3 linked regions of the Canis lupus familiaris genome follow. The protein of the gene in region 3 interacts with the protein of the main gene of each other region in a biochemical or structural test. Links are inferred from orthologs where the notes say so. Each region holds a gene or a part of one and is shown on either strand. Other genes may lie near its edges.

Region 1 (6,579 bases), on a different chromosome or scaffold from region 3:
CTATGAAACCCGGAGACCTTAGGAATGTGCTTTGATGGCCCAAGATTTTGAAAAACAGATCCAGAAGTATGATCTTTGAAAATTGGAGCACTGATATGGCATAAATTCTGGACCAAACTGAAAGCACATGGTACATGGCTGTATTAACCTATCCTCTTAAACTTGAGATTCTTCTTAAACCTGAGACATGTGACCTATCCAATTTTTTAAGAGGATTGGCCAAGGTGATCTTTTCATCATAGTTGGCCTCATATGACAGGTCAGGATCAACAGAAAAACTATCTAGAGGCCTCCTCAACCAACCAGGCTGAGGACATTCTAAGTAAGTGTATCTTAAAATGATCAATTAGAAAGACACAAAGAGGAGATGGGGTTTAGATCTTAGCTCTAACCTCTGGCCACATGACCTTAGGAAAAGGGCTTCACCTCCCCCCTTTCACTCCTTTCAATCCCCTCTCCTCTCCTCCAGGGTTTAGTTGCTTATCTATAAAATAATGCAAGTAGACCAGCTGATAGCTAAGATTGCCTCCATCTGTAAGAGCCTAAGTTTCCATTAAAACAGAATAGGCACAAGATTGAAAGGAGTTTGAGCAAAAGCCCTACAAAAAACTGGCTAGGAAGAACTTCAAGCAGAGAAAAAGAAGCCAACTGCTGTGAAATAAGACCAGCAGGGGCAGTATCAGAGTGTAATAGGACCAAAATGTTGCATGCTTGTTACTGGCCCCATCATCCTTTTTTTTTTTTTTTTTTTAAGATTTTATTTATTTATTCATGAGAAACAGAGAGAGAGAGAGAGAGAGGCAGAGACACAGGCAGAGGGAGAAGCAGGCTCCATGCAGGGAGCCCGACATGGGACTCAATCCTGGGTTTCCAGGATCACGCCCTGGGCTGAAGGCGGCGCTAAACCACTGAGCCACCCAGGCTGCCCCCCATCATCCTTTTAAATATATAAACTTTACCTGAAGATGTAATTGTCATAAAGCTGACACTACGAAAGGCATAACCAAGCTTCTATTGGAGGACAGACTAGAACTTTGTTTAAATCGATACCATTCTCTCAAAAAAACTTCCAGTCATATTCTGGGATCTGGGAATTCCTCAAAGAAATGTTAGTGAAAAATGCCTAAGACTTCTTTATGTGCACTTAGAAATTAGAAATATGAATAGTAAGCAAAAAAAAAAAAAAAACAGTGTTACCTTCAGTGTCGGTCAATGTAATAGTTGCTGCCATTTATGATCACTGTCTAGAGGCCTTACATGTTAAGCACTTTTATCTCTATGTTTTAATAAAATGCCATGGAACAAATTCTCCGGTTATCACATCAATTTTGCAGATAACCAATCTGAGCCATGAAAGTTTAGTGACTTCCCCAGGGTGACACAGCTGGAAAGTGGTAAAGTCATTGCTGGAACCCTGACCGCTTGACTCCAGAGTTCAGGCTCTCCCAATTTTTCTTAAAAGCATTATACAAAATATGAAGAAAATACAAATAATTTTAGCTATGGATATGCTATAATTTTTTTAAGACTAACCATAAAATACCCAGAGCTCTGTTCCAATTTCTAATGATGCAAACTCTGCAGGAAGATCTTACCTAAAACGTATGCTAAAATAAGGACAGTGTCCTCACACTTTACAACAGGATAAGTCAATACAACAAGAATCTAGAAATCTCCTTAACCTTCCAGGCTGAGGCTATCCAGGGGACAAGTAGGAAGACTGAGAGTGAGGATACTTGGGGTCAGGTGATAGATACTTGGGGTCAGGTGACAGAAACCTGAAAAGAATTTCTGAAAAAAAAAAAAAAATATCCAGAGTTATGGCCCAGCAGGTAGATTTTTACCTTTTGTGGCAAAGATTGTAAAATGCCACTCAGCTTCTTTAGTAACCTCATGCATGGGTAGTAACCCAGGGAGCGTGACATTTTTAGTACAAAAGAAAAAAGACGGGCAGATAGAGGAGCGAGTCACCTACCAGGGCGGTTAAATTATAGCCTCTGGACTCAGAATCCCTTGGATTAGCCTCCCAGCTTTGCCATTTTCTAGCAGTATGACCCAGGGCACATTACTTCCCATCAGTAAAATGCGGAGAGTAAGAACACTTACCATCAAAGTGGTATTATAAAGACTAGTAAGTATAAAGCACTTAAAACAGCACCTGCCGCAAACAGAAGTGTCTGATAAGCACCTCTTACCGCACATATTATTATTACATATTATTATAGAAGACGGAAGAGTGAGTGCAGTTTATTTGGTGACTAAACCACCAATCCAGGGGAGAAAATGTCAGTTTTCATTCTATGGGGACAATCCAGATGTATCCCAGATGAATGCGGACAAGATTTCCCCTTGCCAGGCACTGACAGGAACATATAGTAAATCCTATGGCTATATTTAGGACGTAGGATGTAGATCACCCGAAGCGCGGCGGCAAAGCCTCCGCAGTAATAATAAATCCTCTCTCTGTGTTACCAACACTGAGAAAAAAAAGGTGTTCAAAGCAAGAATTATTAACGGTCTCCCCCTGCCTCCCCTCCCTTTCCAAAGATCTTTTTTTTTTTTTTTTTACAAGACCAGTGGGGTTTGTTGGCGTTTCCAAACTTCTTCCCAGGAAGTCTGAAATGGGTACTGCTAGGAGTTGCTGTATAATTACTTAGTTGATTCCCTCTAAGGAGCTTACGCTAAGAATTGAGGAAAGAAAGCAGATTAACCATCTGAATACAAGCCACGGCCCATCCACAGGCTTTCCCCTCTCTCCGCCGTAGATGGGGGGGTGGGGGGGGCGGGTTCTACAGTCCCCACCCATCAACCCCAATATGTGATCCAGGGAAATCAATTTATTGCTTGGGCTAATCCTACCACAATAGGGGTTTCATTTTCATTGTAGGGCAATTAAGTTGTCGGACGGGAAGGAAGGAGCAGGAGGGGGGACGGGGTGGGGGGAGAGCGCTCCCATCCGCACAGACAGATTAGCCCCCGCGCAGGCAGCGGCGTCCGCTCTGTCTGTCTGGTGGTCGGTCACACGCAGCTCGGGGCCGCTACCTAGCAACGCGAAGCCCGCAGCCAGCTCGCCGCCCCCGCCGCCTCCGCGCGCTTCCCATTCATCCCGGGCCGCCGCCGCCCCCGCCCCCGCCCCCCAGGAGCGCGCCGCCCTGCCGCTCCCGTCCCCTCTCCCGGCTCGCTCCTACTCCTCTTCTCTCTCCCCCTTTACTCCCTTTTACCCCCTCCACGTCTTCCTCCCTTTCTTTGCTCGGCCCGTTCCTGTAGACTCGTAAACCTCTGACAACTTGAGAGGCTTTCTCAAGGGCTTCCTACCAGAAACTTCCTCCATTCGAGCCCTGAAAACTCCGGGCGCGCAGACGCGGCCTCATTCAGCAACACAAAAGCCCCCCCACCCCCGGCCCCCCCACCCCCGGCTGAAAAGGGAAACCCCTCCAGAAAACGCCCCAGCGGCGGTGCGGCTCTCGGCGCCAATCCCGCCTCCCGGCCTCATCTGGGCTCGTAAAGCATCTGTAAGGAGACGCGCTCCCCGGAGGGTGGCCGCGGGACCTCGCCTCGCCTCGCCTCGCCTCGCCGGGGAGGGGGGCTGCTCCCGCGGGGGAGCGCGGCAGGTGGCGGGGGGCGCGCCGGGCAGCGCCGCGGGGGTCGGGACCCCCCGCCCCGCGCCCCCCGCCGGGAGCCTCCGCGCTCGCCCAGCCCACTGCGCGCCGGCCGGGGGGACCCCAGCCCCCGGGCTCCAGCTGCACAGGGGCTCCCGACACGGTCGGGGGCAAAGTCCCGCCGGAACAAAGACGGGGTCCCCGCGGGGTGCGCTGTCACCGAAACCGGCCGGGCTACTTTCTCAGGTTTGCGGCCGCTCGGATGCCGGGCGGGCGGGCGGGCGGAGGAGGGCTGCTCCCGCTGGCCCCGGGCGGAGCAACCTGAGCGCCCCGGCGGGAGCCGCCCGGGGGCCGCCGCCCTGCCCCGGCCCCCGCCCCCGCCCCCGCCCCCGCCCGGCCGCGGTCCCCGCAAGTGCGCTCGCGGACCCGGGCCGCCGCCGCCGCCGCCGGGGTGGTGCCGGGCTGTGCGCGGAACTCGGGCGGGCAGGCGCTTACCTTGGCCACGGGCCGGCGCCAGGCAGGCGGCTAGGGCCAGCAGCAGCGTGCACGCCACGGCCCGCGCCCCGCGCTCCATCCCCGCGCCGTCCGGGCCCGGCCTCGCCGTTCCTTCCCCGGGAGGTGGGCGCGCGGAGCCCGCCGCAGCCGCCGCCGCAGCCGCCGCGCCTCTGCCCGCGAGCGCTCCCGGAGGCCTGCGCCTCGGCCGGCTCCTAGCGGCGGAAAGCCGGGCCCGGCGCCCGGGGCATCCCGTTTTCTACCCGCGCCAGTCCCCACCCTCCGGACCGCGCAGAAAGCCCCGGAGACCCGGCCGCCCCGGAACTAGCATGCGGGAATCCGGCGGGGCAGGCCCCCTGCCGCCCGGCCCGCCCCCTGCGCTTCGCGGCGCCGGCAGCGCGAGGGACTCGAACACACGTGCGCTCACACTCGCACACGTCCTCACACAGCGTCACACACACAGTCGCGCACTCCCCTCACGGTCACGCCACCTGCCAGTCCCTCTCGCACGCCCGCTGGCGTGCCGGCACGCACATTCCGAGGCCGCACACACACGCGCGCGCGTGCGCGCATCCCACACTCACACAAACACCGACACGTGCACGCACACTTCAGTTGCGCTCGCAGCGTCTGCACACCCCTCGCAGTCTCACGCTCACGGGCGAGCGCTCGCCCGACACTTGCACGGCCAAGCGGCGCCCCAGCCTCCCCGCGAAGGGGTCCGCGAGGCAGCCCGTAAAAGGAAGAAAAATAAGAGGAGGAAGGGGGGGGGGCGGAATTAGAGGGACTAAGAGCCTGCGGGGCGGGGGGGGACTTGTGACCATTCTCTAGCCTGAAATCCCTAGGCTTCGTGGACACCCCGGTCCCCCCCCCATAGAGTGGAGACCCCGAGATGGGGTGTTCACTGTTTTTTACAGAGAGGCGTAAATCGACGTTGGGGGGAGGGTGGGATCCTTGTTTCGTTGTCTTAAGCAGAAGAGACACACGTGTCGCCGCCAGATCGCGTTTCTTACAAATCTCTGGCATTTGGAGCAAAATTGCAAAGAAGGAACGTCTTGCGATCGTACTGGCGCCTCTTTATACGAGGGCGTTGAGAAAGCCCTGCCGCTCCTTCCTAGAAGGCAGCGTTGGACACAGCCCGGGGGCTCCGGCCCCCAAGAGCCCTCGGAGCGAACCTCACCGTCGGAGCCTCGTCCTCGCGCGGGGCGTGACACCAGGGCCGACAGGGGAAAAGGGGGAGGCCACTGACTCCCTGGCCCGGGGATCCCTGTCTGTGGGAAGGGGCCGGGGCGCGCCCCACCCCCCAGTGCTGGGCTCTGCATTAGCCCGGCGGCGGGGCCCCAGGAGCCCGGTCCCTCCACCCGGGGCCCCGCGCTGACTTAGAGACCCGGGCAGGGCGCCGCCGCCTCGCCTCTCCGGGGCCGAGAGCCTGCCGGCGTCAGCCACCCCCGTCCCCGGAGCCCCGGCGTCTGGGCTCTGCTGGCCCCTGGCAGCACGGACCGCGCACCTCCTTGGGCTCCGGCGACTGCTGCACTTTGCAGGGAAGACGGAGGGGGAACCGAGGTGTTACTTTAGAAAGACAAAAAGGGGGACAAACAGACGCGGAGAGAGGAAACCCGGACCGAGGGAGAGCAGGGCTGCGGCAGCCGCTCGCGCTCTCTCTCCGAGATGCCGGGACTGGGCAACCCAGAGGTCCCTGCTCCGCCCCGAGTCACCGGAACGATACTTGGCTCCGCGCCGAGGAGGACGCAGGACTGGGGGCCCGGGGGGCGCGGGGGTCCGGGAGGGGAGGAGGATGCGGCGGGCGGCACTTGGTCTCCGCGGGTGATTTATGCCGGTTCCGGGCGCCCGGGGCGGTGGTACGAGACCGCCGGGGTCAGGCGGCCCCGACGCCCGCCCGGGCCGCGCTGCAGTCCCTGAGCGTCCCCGCACCGCGGGCCACGGAGAGCTGCGGCGGGCGCCAGGGGCTGGGGGCGCCCAGGGCGCGCGTGGGCGTGTGGGGGGCGGGAGGGCGCGCGTGCATGCGAGTGCATGTGTGAGTGTGTGAGTGTGTGTCCTTTCACTGCGGCCGCCAGGGCTCCGAACATTCCTTTCTGCACTGAAGGGTTTTCCCCATTGTTACTGTCTTTGTGCTCCAGTGTTGCCAACTTGCTGGAATTCCTGACGTGGTTGCACAGCAGGGCTCGGGCTGACCGTAGGAGCCAGCTGCGCCTGTGTCTGAGGCCGACCCCGCCGTTAATCCCAGAATAACGCGGGTGGGGGGGGGGGCGCAGAGAATGGAGCGAGAACGCGAGGGAGGGGAGCAGAGAGAGGGCGGGGATGGGAATGCGGGGCCACTGACCGAGCACGGTCCACCAAGTGGATGCAAATTCACACATCCACGCTCTTTTCCACCAGAAGGTCTCATTTTCTCAATGCAACCCCAAACTCATGCAGTTTGGGGGCGGCGGGGGGGGGAGCATCTTTTGTGCCTCTTTATCTGCAGTAT
Region 2 (6,566 bases), on a different chromosome or scaffold from region 3:
CGCTGTGGGCAGTCCCGTGGGGAGTCAGGCCCGCGCCCCGCCCGCGCCCCCCCCCCCCGCCCGCGCCGGCCGCACCTACCACGCCTCACAGCTGGGCAGGGGCTGCAGCTTGTTGTCCCGGGAGGCCCGCCACGCACGCCGCCGCTCCTCGTTCCTGGCGCAGACGGAAGGTGGCACGGCCTGCCCGGCGCACCCGGCCTCGGCCCACGCGTGTGCACGCACGGGCCCAGACGCGGGGCGTGAGGGCGCGGGCCGGGCCGCAGCCGGGCAGCCCCCCACCCCCACCCCTGGGACCCAGGCTGCACTCCAGCCCCACCCCTTCCTCTGTCTCCCTGGCCGTCCCCCGCCCCGCGCCCCCAGAGGCGCTGCTCCTGCTGCAGGAAAGCCCCGGCCGGCCCTGCCTGCGTCCGTCCCTCCCCGGGGTCACGACCTCTCAACCCTAGCTCCCACACAGGCCTCCGTTCCTCTCCTACCCCACCCGCTGGACCCCACAGCCGAGTCCTCTGCGAGGCCCGATTCACGACCCCGTCCCCGCTCAGGCCTGGGTGCTCACGGCTCAGCGGGTCCCCCTCCAGGTCCCCACAGCACCCAAGTTGGGCCAGGCCTCTGTGGCACGTGCACGCCCCCGACAGCCCTCCACAGGCCACAGAGCCGGTGACCGTGGGGCCCACCCTAGGGAGCTGCTCGGGACGCTCTCCCCCTCGCCCCCAGGCCGGGGCCCTGCTCGGTGTCCCCCAAGGGCTCCTTGCTCCGTAGGCCCCCGGGGCCAGCTCCGGCTGAGCACACAGGCGGTGGCCTGGCCAGGTGTGCACACGACACGCCCTTGGGGGAGCCGCCGGGCACGAAGGCCTACACGGTGTCGGGGCAGTGGCCACAGTCAGCAGGCCCGGCAGCCCCTGCGTGAGAGCCGTGGGCAGCAGAGGCGTCCTGCCCTCGGGTGGCCCCTGGGAAGGCACCGGAGGGTCTGCGGGCAGGACGCTGGGCCCCAGGTGTGTACCCCTCCCCTCCCCCATCCCCACGTACCAGGTGTGTACACCCCCGCCCCCCCCCCCCCCCCCCGCCGTCCCCACGTACCAGGAGCAGCTGCAACAGCAACACCAGCACAAGCAGCAGGGGTTGCGGCTGGGGGCAGCCGGGGGGGCCGCGTCATGACTGGACATCGAGGGGGGCCGGCCTGCCTCCTCTGGCCCTGCGTGCTGGCGACACGGGGGCCTCCTCAGCTCCAGCCCAGAACCTGGGGCCTGCACACCTCCCCCCGACTCCCCTGGTGTCACCCTTCCGGCCTCCCAGGCAGTCGAGGGTCCCCCAACTCCTCGTCCCCCCGCCCCGGTTCCCACAAGGGGGCAGAGGCAGGGGTGGAGGTGGTGCACCTGCTTCTCAGCCTCATGCGGGGTGGGCATGGGTGGGTGGAGGAGGTCGCCCGGGCTCCGTGGTGCTGGCTCCGGGACCCTCACCACAGCCTGGGGGTCTGAGAAGAGAGGTGGGGGTTCCCGCTGAGAACCTGAGACGACAGTCTCTACTTGCCTCTCCCTCCGCCCAGGAGCCCGAGGGGCCTGCTCCCCTGCCCCCACCTGCACCGGGACTGCGAGCAAGGGCAGGGGCGGTGAGGAGGAGCCAGACAAGATCTCCACAGGAGGTTCTGGGACACCCCCGTTTGCTCGGTCCCTGGGAAGCCGGAAGTCTGGGTTCCTCTTTCTTGGTTTCCGGCTCCTGGCCCCTCCCAAGGGGCCTGGGGGGCCCCAAGAGTCTGGGGCTATCAGCCTAATGCTCCCTCCATTCTGGGTTTTCTGTAGGGAGTGGGCGAGGTGGGGAGGGCTTGCCCCCCCCCAGGTGCCCAGATCTGCCCTCAGCCCCGGAGGGTTCCAGCCTGTTCGCAGCTGCCCAGCCTGCAGCCTGCGTGTGGGGCAGGACTTGAGGGTCTGGGGGTGTGGGGAATGCAGCAGGGCACAGTGAGGAGGGCCAGGCGCCTCGTGGGGGATGCAGGGCTCCTGAGGCCCAGACGCTGCCCCTGGCACCCCAACCCCCAGCGGGCACCTTACCACACCCAGGGCCTCCCAGCCTCCCTTCCCCCAGCCCCACCAGGCGGTGGAAGCCAGTGCAGCCTGGGGTGCCAGTCAGGGAGGGGAGCGGGGAGGAGGGCAGCAATGGGTCGGGGTGTCCAGCTCCCAGGGTCAAGGTGCGGGATCCCCAGACGGGGTGCGGGTCGGCATTGTTTACAATGCCTGTGCCCACGTTTCAAGGTGCAGGCGTGCAGGGGGCACTGGGCCCTGAAGCCCCCAGCGGGGGTGAGGAGCCCGAGCAGCCCCCCAGCCCCCCCCTTCCGTCCCCAAGGCCAACCACGGATCCCAGAGTCCATGCGGATCCCAGAGTCCACACCTGGGTGGCCGATCAGTGCCCCAGGGGCAGTCTGAATGCTTTCCCACCACAGCACCTGCCTCTGCCTGCCCTGGCCGGGGTGAGGACCCCAGGGCCCGGCTGCACCCCCGCACAGCCTTTGTGACCCCCCAGGCCTGCCCCCACCCCCGTCCCGGTGGCCAGCAGGCTCAGGACTTGCTTTCACTTCGTTTTCTCATGTAATTATCACATCACCCCTGGGCCTGTGGCCTTTCAACCCCCGCCTGGCCCACGTGGCCTGCTGGCTGCTGGGGTCTCGCAGGTGGGAAGGAGGGAGCGGCGGGGATGCCGGGGGCGCCGGGAGCCGTGCTCAGAGGTGCAGGGCCTGACTCAGGCACGCTCAGGGCACCCTTGCCTCTGGGGCCTGGGCACGCAGAGGCCCTGCCGTGACCCAGATCTAGGGCAGAGTGTGGGGTCCCCTGGGCTGAGGGCCCTGGCCAGCTGCCTGCTTCCCCTGAAATCATGGACATGGACGGGGAACCCTCAAACTGGGCCCCAGCCCGCCTTTCCTTCAGGGGTCTAGCTTGTAGGGAAGGGAAGGGGTGTGGCAACCCCCGAGGTCTGGTAGCCAGGCAGAGAACTGCTCTTCCTCCTCCGCACCCCTACCCGCTGCGAGTGGGGGCAGGGCCCCATCCCCCTCCACTCCCTGGCACCCCAAGGCTCTGCTCTGAACTGGAGGAGGGGCCAGGTCTGAGGGCGCCCACGTGCTGGGGGTCCTGGAGTGGATGCCTACACTGGCCCGGGGCTGGCGGGGTCTCCTGTTCACCCGCTGTCTCCTGAGGTCGCCCGGGGTGTGCACAGGGCTCCTGCCCCTCCGCCTGGCAGCTGGAAAGGGGCTCGGTCCCCTTTCCCAGCCCTTGGGCTCTGGCCCCCAAGTCTGGGATGGGGGAGGCTGGACGGGCAGCGAGCCTGGCCTCTGGGGACCGAGGCTCCCTTGGGAGCTGCTGCTACTCTGCTCCACAGAAGGAAAAAGAACGTCCCTGAGCCCGCCCAGTCCAAAAAAAGAATAAGAAAATGTGACAATCCCAGAAAAAAATGCCATAACCTTTAGGCGGAGGGTTGACAGGGGCTCCTTCCCCTGCTTCTGGCGCCCCTGCCTCCCCTCGGCCGCCCCCCGCCCCGCCCCCGCCCCGAGCGATGGGTGGGGCGGCCCCGGCCTGGGCCCGACCTCTGTGGCCCGGGGACCCTCGCCCGCCCCCAGGGCCGCGGTGCCGCCGACCCGTCTCCCTCCTCCTCCCGCCGCTGCGGGGTCTGCCCGGGGGGCGCGGCTCCGACTCGGGCCCGACGCCCCCGGGGCCTGGCCGCGCGCCCCACTCACCATCGGCCCAGGGGCGAGGCGCGGGCGGGAGGGCCGGTTCCCGCGGGGCCCCACCCGCTGCCGAAGGGCGCGCTGCAGCGACCCGGGTCCGCGGGCGGGAGGCCCTCCGCGGGGTGTGGAGGCGGCGGGAGCCCCGGTCAGCCCGGCCAGCCCCGAGCGAGCGGCTGCCAGGCGCGGGGCGGGGGCGCGCAGGGCGTCCCGCCGGGCCCTCCCCACCGGGCCGGGGGCGGGAGGCGCGGAAACCGGGGCTCTTCCGGCCCCCCCTTGAGCAATCACTTCCCCGGGCTCCGAGCTGCAGAAAGGGGAACCGGTGGCGGCGCCCCCTCCCCCCGCGCGGGGCACCGGCTCCGCTCCCGCCGCCGCCCGGGTCCACGTGGGCCCGCGGTCCCGGCGGCGCGGTCCGGGCTCCAGCCGCCCCCCCCGGCCGCCGACCCCCCGCGCGCACTCACCGGCCGCGCTCCCGGCCCCGCCGCCGCCGCAGCCCCGCGCACAGGTCCGGCCGCCGGTCGGGGAGGGGGCGCGGGCCGCAGTGCGCAGGCGCGGGCCGCACTTCCCCAAAGCGCGGGGCCGGGACTTCCTCGCGCGGGGAGGCGTCCGGCCCGCCCCGCCCCGCGCACCCCCGCCCCGCCCCCGCCCCGGGCTCCGCGGCCTCCCGAGGAGGCGGGTCCCCGCACCTGCAGCCCCGGGCGCTCCCGCGGGGGCCCGCGCCCGCCCTCCCGCCGCCGCGCGCCCCAGGGGCCCTCGGCCCTCCCCGGCCCCGGTGGTCGGCGCGCCCCGGCCCTGTCGAGGGGCCCGGCCGCCCCCGCCCCCGCCCCCGCCCCCGCCCCCGCGCCCAGGCCCCGCCGCTGACCCGGTCACTAAGCACAGCGCTCCGGGACCCCCACGCGGAGGGCCGACCTCCCACGCGCCTCGCTCGGCGGTGATGGGTGCCCCAGAGGTGGGCCCGGCTGCGCGCACGGACCGCGGGAGCCCGGGCTGGAGGTGCGCCGGGGGGGGGGGGGGGGGGGGTGCCGGGATGCTGGGGTGCCGGGGTGCTGGGGTGCCGAGGTGCTAGGATGCCAGGGTGCTGGGATGCCAGGGTGCTGGGATGCCGGGATGTTGGGGTGCCAGGATGCTGGGGTGCCGGGGTGCTGGGATGCCGGGGTGCTGGAATGCCGCGGAGCTGGGATGCCGGGATGCCGGGGTGCCAGGGTGCCAGGATGCTGGGGTGCCGGGGTGCTGGGGTGCCGAGGTGCTAGGATGCCAGGGTGCTGGGATGCTGGGGTGCCGAGGTGCTAGGATGCCAGGGTACTGGGATGCCAGGGTGCTGGGATGCCAGGGTGCTGGGATGCCGGGATGTTGGGGTGCCGGGATGCTGGGGTGCCGGGGTGCTGGGATGCCGGGGTGCCGGGATGCCGGGGTGCTGGAATGCCGCGGAGCTGGGATGCCGGGATGCCGGGGTGCCGGGGTGCTGGGGTGCCGAGGTGCTAGGATGCCAGGGTACTGGGATGCCGGGATGCAGGGTACTGGGATGTCGGGATGCCAGGGTACTGGGATGCTGGGGTGCCGGGATGCCAGGGTGCTGGGATGCCGGGATGCCGGGGTGCCGGGATGCCAGGGTGCTGGGATGCTGGGGTGCCGGGGTGCTGGGGTGCCGAGGTGCTAGGATGCCAGGGTGCTGGGATGCCAGGGTGCTGGGGTGCCGGGGTGCTGGGATGCCGGGGTGCTGGGATGCCAGGGTGCCAGAGTGGTGGGATGCCGGGGTGCTGGGGTGCTGGGATGCTGGGGTGCCGGGATGCCGGGATGCTGGGGTGCCGGAATGCCAGATGCCAGGTTTTTGGGATGCTGGGGTGCCAGGGTGGTGGGATGCTGGGGTGCTGGGATGCCAGATGCCGGGATTCCGGGATGCTGGGATGCTGGGTTGCCAGGATTCCGGGATGCTGGAGTGCTGAGATGCCGGGGTGCTGGCATACTGGGGTGCCGGGGTGCCGGGATGCCAGGGTGCTGGGATGCTGGGATGCCGGGGTACTGGGGTCCTGGAGTGCTGCAATGCTGGAGTGCTGGTATGCTGGGGTTCTGGGGTGCCAGGATGCCGGGGTGCTGCGATGCCAGGATGCTGGGATGCTGAGGTGCTGGGGTGCCAGGATGCTGGACGCCGGGGTGTTGGGATACTGGAGTGCCAGGATGGTGGGATGCCAGGGTGTTGGGATGCCAGGGTGCCCAGATGCTGGGGTGCCCAGATGCCGAGATGCTGGGGTGTTGTGGTACTGAGGTACTGAGATGCTGGGGTGCCGGGATGCTAAGATGCTGTGATGCTGGGGTGCCAGGATGTTGGGGTGCTGGGATGCCGGGATGTTGGGGTGCCGGGATGCCGGGGTGCTGGGGTGCCAGGATGCTGGGATGTTGGGGTGCCGGGGTGCTGGTGTGCTGGTGTGCCGGGATGCTGGGGTGCTGGGATGCTGGGGTGCTGGGGTGCCAGGGTGCTGGGATGCTGGGGTGCTGGGATGCCGGGGTACTGGGGTGCTGGGATGCTGGGGTGCCGGGATGCCAGATGCCAGGTTTCTGGGATGCTGGGTTGCCAGGGTGGTGGGATGCCGGGGTGGTGGGATGCCGGGGTGCTGGGATGCTGGGGTGGTGGGATGCTGGGGTGCCGGGATGCTAGGGTGATGGGGTGCTGGGATGCCGGGATGCCAGGGTGCTGGGATCCTGGGGTGCCTGGATGCTGCGATGCCGGGGTGCTGGGATGCTGGAGTGCTGAGATGTCGGGGTGCTGGGATGCCGGGGTGCCGGGGTCCTGGGATGCCAGGGTGCTGGGATGCTGGGATGTCGGGATGCCGGGGTGCGGAGGCACCGGGATGCTGGGATGATGCGGTGC
Region 3 (6,396 bases):
TCCGAAAGGCAAGGAATTTTGTCTGCCTTATGCATCCTTATACTCTTAGCACAGAGAACACTGCCTGGTGCATAGCAGGTGCTCAATAAATACTTGTTGAATGAACGTATAGATGAATGATCCTAATATTCATCAGCCCATCAGTCCCTGTGCCTGGCTTTGGGGAGACAGAAGGACCCAGGCTATAGTCCCTGCCCCAAGGGGGTCTTGTCTCACCAGCAAAAGAGCAAGCGCCCCCCTGTGGTCCTCATCCCTTGCTTCCCAGCATAGTGCTGGGGACAGGGTAGGTGCTCCTTCTAGCCACACTGATTTCTCCCTCACCTTTCATCATGGTTTTGTTTTCACTCCCTTCATAATCAAGGATGCTGAACAACTTTTTTCTTTTTCCATGGGGGCAGGGAAAGGTTGGGGTGGTGGTGGAGGAGAACCTTAAGCAGGCTCTACAACCGGTGTGGAGCCTGATGTGGGGCTTGATCTCACAACCCTGAGATCATGACCCGAGCTGAAATCAAGAGTCAGACGCTTAACCAACTGAGCCACCCAGGCACTCCAGGCTTAACAGCTTTTTTTTTTAAAGATTGTATTTATTCATGAGAGACATACACAGAGAGAGGCAGAGACATAGGCAGAGGAAGAAGCAGACTCCCTGCGGGGAGCCTGATGCAGAACTTGATCCCTTGACCCCAGGATTATGCCCTGAGCCAAAGGCAGACGCTCAACCACTGAGTAATGCTTAACAACTTTTAAGACATTTATTAACTGCTTGGATTTGTCGTTTTGTGAATTGTCTAAGTCTTTGCCCATTTTTAAAAATTGCACAGTTTGTTTTTTATTGTAATGCCTATATCTTTTTCTTTTCTTTTTTTTTTTAAGATTTTATTTATTTATTCATGGGAGACACAGAGACAGAGAAAGGCAGAGACACAGGCAGAAGGAGAAGCAGGCTCCATGCGGGGAGCCCAATGTGGGACTCGATCCTGCGTCTCCAGGATCAAGCCCTGGGCTGAAGGTGGCGCTAAACTGCTGAGCCACTGGGCTGCCCTGCCTTTATCTTTTTCTTATTGATTTTTGGGAATTGTTTACATATTTGGGATACTAGTCTTTTATTGATTACTTCATCTAACCATAGCACACATCACACTAAGCATTCACCTAATATCTGATAAAAAACAAATTCTGAATGAATAAACCCATACTGCCCCCTCAGATTATTACAACACACTCAGTGATGCTTCAAACCAAACCAAACCAAACCCCTCATCATCACCTCCCCTGTTCTCCTCCTGCTGCCCCTCATACATCTTAGCGGGATGCTGAGAACATGAGTCTGGAACCTGGTTTCTCCACTTATTAGCTGTGTGACCTTGGGCAAGTATCTTAACTTCTCTGAGCTCCAAGGAGGGTGGCCTGGGTTCAAATCCCATCCTTGCCACTTACCAGCTGCGTGGTCGTGGGCAAGTGTCACTTCATGTGATGGAGCCTCAGTTTTCTCAGTCGAAAAATGGGTGGAATTCCTGTCTCTCTCCAGGTGCTTATGGGAATCCAAAGAGATTGTGCAGACAACCCGATTAGCATTTTGCCTGACATTCAATTTAAGAAAACTGTTACTAGTATTGTCATTATTATTATGGCCTCCTCCCCTGCCCACCCCACCCCCCCCCCCCCCACCGCCCAGGAACATCCCAGTCTGTGCTTCTGCTGTCTGCTGTCCGCGGAGGCCTAGTCTAGGTGGCCTCCTCCAGGCAGCCTCCCTGGCTTGCCCCAGCCTGCTGGAACTGCCCCTGTGGTCCAGACAGCTCAAGGCCCATGAACTTAATTACACATTATCCCGGCAGAACTCTTGTCTTTCAGTCCCAGGCTGCTATTTCACTTCGTGTCTCTATTTTAAAATGTAAACCAGATCACGTCACTCCCCGGCTTCCAATCTTACAGCGGTCTCCTACCTTTACAGAGGAAAAGCCCCAAACTCCTTAATATGAGCCACAGGCCCCTGCAGAACTGCCACTCTGGCGGCAGCTCGTGCCCCCACACACTATCCCAAGCTCCATCCAGCCTCAGAGTTTTTGCCCAGGCTGGGCCCCCTGCCTGACCTTTGCTGGGCCACCTTCTTTCTGTCATTTAGATCTTGTCTCCAAAGTCGCCTCCTCCAAAAGCCACCCCCTTTACCACAGATTCCACCCGGCCACCCCCCTCATATTTTATTCATAGCACACGCACTTACTACCATCCGCGGGTACTGTCTTTATCTACTTGTTAACTTGCTTGCTGCCCTTTTCCCCACTAGGACGGCGGCTCCCACAGAGCAGGGATTTTTGTCTTGTTTGCTATTATGCCCTCTGTGCCAAGGACAGTGCTTGGCCCATGGGAGGTGCTCAGTAAATGTTTGCAGAATGGACGGGTGTGCGTGCCTCGTGTCCTCATTCAGACTCCTCTCTGAGCCCTCCTATCCTCAGAACATGCCTGCTGTGGGGTTGCTAACTGACACTTCCTCCCCACATTCCCAGTGTCCCCTCAAACCTGAACATAGGGATGGTGGAAAAAGTGTCAGCCGGGGGTCCAAGCGCATTGGCTGGAATCCTAGCATCCCCACCCTCGCTTCCCTGGGAGGGGCCTGAAACTTAGCAACCCCACCACCAAGCAGAATCACAGTGAGGGCAGCAGGAAGTGGGGAGGGGAGTTCCTGGGAGTTGACAAAAGCTTGGGTGGGGGGAGAGACACCACACCCAACCTCCCCTTTCTAGTAGGATACTGCTTTGGAGGGGAGGGCGGGAGGCGGGAGGCAGGGAGGCGGGAGGCCTCTGATTCAGTCTTGAAAAACCGGCTCCCGGGTGTTTCCGGGGAGAACGCCTACTGCCTGGGCCTCAGCGCAGGCTTTCCAGAGGGGCCCAGTGGGCAAAGGACCCCAGCATCCAGGCCTCCTATGTCCCCTGCAGATGTCACTCTCTTCTTAGGACCTAGGTATTCAGGCAAGCCTTCCCAGGTCCGGGGAGGCAAGACAGGGTTGGTGTCCGGGGACCTCTTGGGGGGAAGCAAAGACCAGCAGGTGTGGCCCAGATACATGCATGGTTGGGGGATGCAGGCAGCAGCGGGCAGAGGAGCTGGTCGGGAACACCTGAGCCACGGAGCCACTGGGCCACTGATCCATGGAGCCATCTAGTCTAGCGGCTGAGACTCCAGTTCTGGACTCCGAAGCACGGGTTCGAGTTCCAGCCCTGCCACTTACTAGCTGTGTCACCTTGGGCAAGTCACTCCACTTCTCCGGGTCTGTTGCTTCACCTCTAAAAGAAGTAACAGCACCTTCCATGAGGTGTTTGGACGCAACGATGTGCATGGTAAATACCTGACACGGAAGCGTCCAGTCAGTGCTAGCCGGGGGTGATTTTTTCATGATTATTACCGGGACCTCAGTCCTCTCCAGGTCCCTCTCTCGGCCCTGGAGGGCCGCGTCGAGGCCAAGGTGGGACGAGGGAGGTGCCCGGGCAGGACTCAGAAATGCCGAGCCCGCCGGGACGGGGCTGTCCAGGGCAGTGCAGGGGGCAGGGTGGGCTGCCGACCCCATCTCAGAGGCGGGAGGTGTTTGACCCCGGCCCCCGGCGGGAAGATGGGCGCCTCCGGGGGAAGGGGCCTCAGGCATCCTGGGGCCCAACCTAGACCTCCAGCAGCGACCCCGGGGCCGTCCCCCCGCTACTCGCTCGATCCGCCGGATCCCCATGGGTCCGCGACCCCGCGGGCCCGCGCTGGGGTCCCCGGAGCGGCCGTGCCCCGCCCGCAGGGACACTCACCTGCGCCGCCGCCGCCGCCACCCGCGCGCTCCGGGCTCGGCCCTCCGCAAACTCCGGCCCGGGCCTCTCCCGCAGCCGCGGCCGGGGGGCGGGGCCAGCGCCCGCAGCGCGCCAATCAGGAGCGGCCGCCCGACGCCCGTGGCCAATCCGCGCCGCGCCGCCCAGCGCCGGGTGGGCCCGACGGAAGCATTCCAGAGGGATCCCTCCGCCTCGCCCGGCTCCTCCCGGCCCCCCCGCGCCGCGGCGCAGTGGACCTGCCCACCCTGCCGAAAGCCGCGGCAGGCTGTACCACCGCAGGGCGCGGAGGGGGGACCTGAGGCTGGGCCCCTGCCAATCGCGGGGAAGGAAGGAGGCGAGCAACCAATGGGGAGCTGGGGTCCCTGGCCCACGTGCTGCCGGCGGAGTGTCCGTCTGGGGTGTCCAGGGTGGTAAGGAGCGGGAGGGCCGGTCGTGGGAGTCAGGTGACGCGGGCCGAGTTTCGGGCAGAGGCTAACTCGCCACGTCCGGAAGAGCTGACCCTTTAGGAGACCTAGGAAGGGGCCGAGGGCAGCCCCCGATCCCAGTCCTCCTCCCTGTCTGCGCCTGCCCCAGCCTGGCCATCCTGTGAGCGGATAAAAAGGATGCATTCATTCCGGGCGGGCGAGCGGGCGGAGGAGCGAGATGAATAGGGAGGGTCCCGAGTGTCCCTGCTTCCTGGGGTGTACAATGGACAAGGGCATTTATTCATTCATTCATTCATTCCCTCACTCGTCAAATATTTCATGTGCCCCTGCTCCGTGCCAGGCTCTGTCCTACGTCTGCAGCTACTAAAGCGAATAAGCTGAATGTGCTTCTGGTGGAGGTAACAGCTCGTGCAGAAGGCCTGAAAGCTGGACTGAGAGATACAACACATTTTGGGAGAGTGCAATATCCTAGGAGCTAGCAAAACTGTGTGAAAGGGTGCATGGAAGGAAGACAAGATCGAGATGGACTGCTCGCTTGTTGGTTAAATCAGTGAATATTTACTGAACACATAATATGTGCTAGGTTGTAAAGGGTCCCCAACCATTCCGAGCCTCTGCCCTTTCATGAGGCTGTCTCCTCCATCTAAGTGCCCCCTCACCCCTGCTGGGGTCCTGAGACTGGCAGTGAGCAGCCTCTCAGAGCACTTGTGTGAATGAGAGGACCAGGTGACCTCGCCATCACCAGGTTTGGTGAGGCCCCGAGACTGGGATGTCTCAGGCAAGGGTAGGTCCAAGAAACAAAGACACAGATGCACCTTGTACAGACCAGGATGCTCAGTTCCCAGGACAGATGAGCTATCCTTGCTCTACTTCAAAGCCAGCCTCTGGGGCAGTTGGGGCTGGACCAGGAGCTTGCTGTGTGTTCTGGGAATTGTAGTTCTTGGAGGCCTCTAACAGCTGCAATTCTGCTCAGGCTTCATTGAATGACTGGGTCTCTGCAGTCCCCAGGGTGAGCTGTTGTGCATCCCAGCCCCACCGGGGCCTACAGAGAGGCAAACTGAAAGAGGAGAGCGGGGCCGGCTTAGCTGCTGAGGGCTGCGAGTCTGGCCCCACCCAGCTGGCAAACGCTGCCACTGTTGATGCAACAGGCACCGCTATTGTCCTTCTCTTCCTGTTCTGCTGACCTCTGCCATCCCCACTGAGTGATCAGTTGCTATGGCTGGGCCTCTGTGGGACTGTACCCACTGCCCTGCTTGTGCCTGGCATCTGAGCTGCCCTCTACAAACCCGAAGAGGACAATATGTGGGGCCATGGGGACAGCAGAGTCCTGAGCAGAATCCACCTGAATCCACCTGTTGACTGATGAGGAAGTGCCTAAGGAGGGGTGAGGGTGTTGCCCAAGGGTACAGAGCAAGCCACTCTTTATCCAATTTTATAGTTCAAAGGGCTAGTAGGCCCAGAAGCTGGGGAGCTCAGACTTCAGTGTTACTACCTCTGTCCCCTTTGGAAAAAAACATCTGGAATGCCAGCTAATACACGCAGAAGGAAAGACTGAGTTGGAAAATCCCCATTTTGCAGCCAGTAGAGAAATAATTAATGCAGGCGAGGATCCTCAGTGGAGGAAGTAGATATTCACACAATCTCAAAGGACCAGCCTGCAAATTACTTGTTAATTACAGTGGGGGAAAGATACCGTGGAAAAAGCACCAGGGAGAAACCGGGCAGTCACCACTTTAACCAAGTGACCAAAAGTAACATCACCAGTGATGGGACAAAGTTAACCTCGTATGCCCCTTCCTGTGATGTGCTGAGGACACATCACCTGTAGAGTACTTGGTCCTGTCCAGAGTGCTTAACCTGGATCTAATCATGAGGACACAACCAGATACTTCCAAATGAAGGGACTCTGCCAATGTACAAACAAACAACAACAACAACAAAAAAAACCCCAAAACCAAAAAGCAAAAATGCCTGGACTCTTCAAATAGATCTATGTGATGAAACGAACAATCAATGTGTTAATAAGTGAGTAAATGAATGAACTGCTTGGGAACAGTTCTAGATTGAAGGAGATAGCAATGACAACAAAATCAATGTATGATCTTCAATTGGATCCTTGATAAAAAATTTTTCAGAAAAGAAAGATAGGGCAGCCCGGGTGGCTCAGTGGT

What was found.
Region 1: the proteins of GIPC1 (region 3) and LRP2 form a complex in vitro, tested with the Homo sapiens proteins (2 studies listed by BioGRID). The link is inferred for Canis lupus familiaris from reciprocal best matches to the Homo sapiens genes GIPC1 and LRP2.
Region 2: the proteins of GIPC1 (region 3) and RGS19 form a complex in vitro, tested with the Homo sapiens proteins (2 studies listed by BioGRID). The link is inferred for Canis lupus familiaris from reciprocal best matches to the Homo sapiens genes GIPC1 and RGS19.

The regions. Positions count from the first base shown.
Region 1 is NC_049257.1:14,404,544-14,411,122, forward strand, and holds the start of LRP2 (low-density lipoprotein receptor-related protein 2), read right to left. Parts: upstream 4,216-6,579; 5' UTR 4,174-4,215; coding exon 4,095-4,173; intron 1-4,094. UniProt on the Homo sapiens protein: Multiligand endocytic receptor. Acts together with CUBN to mediate endocytosis of high-density lipoproteins. Mediates receptor-mediated uptake of polybasic drugs such as aprotinin, aminoglycosides and polymyxin B.
Region 2 is NC_049245.1:48,361,009-48,367,574, forward strand, and holds the start of RGS19 (regulator of G-protein signaling 19), read right to left. Parts: upstream 4,216-6,566; 5' UTR 4,162-4,215; intron 3,836-4,161; exon of another isoform or gene 3,716-3,835; coding exon of another isoform or gene 3,713-3,715; intron 3,390-3,712; exon of another isoform or gene 1,469-3,389; 5' UTR 1,401-1,468; coding exon 1,371-1,400; intron 1,197-1,370; coding exon 1,075-1,196; intron 155-1,074; coding exon 80-154; intron 3-79; coding exon 1-2. UniProt on the Homo sapiens protein: Inhibits signal transduction by increasing the GTPase activity of G protein alpha subunits thereby driving them into their inactive GDP-bound form. Binds to G-alpha subfamily 1 members, with the order G(i)a3 > G(i)a1 > G(o)a >> G(z)a/G(i)a2.
Region 3 is NC_049241.1:48,541,612-48,548,007, reverse strand, and holds the start of GIPC1 (PDZ domain-containing protein GIPC1), read right to left. Parts: upstream 3,877-6,396; 5' UTR 3,783-3,876; intron 3,279-3,782; 5' UTR 3,224-3,278; intron 1,581-3,223; exon of another isoform or gene 1,532-1,580; 5' UTR 1,438-1,531; intron 1-1,437. UniProt on the Homo sapiens protein: May be involved in G protein-linked signaling.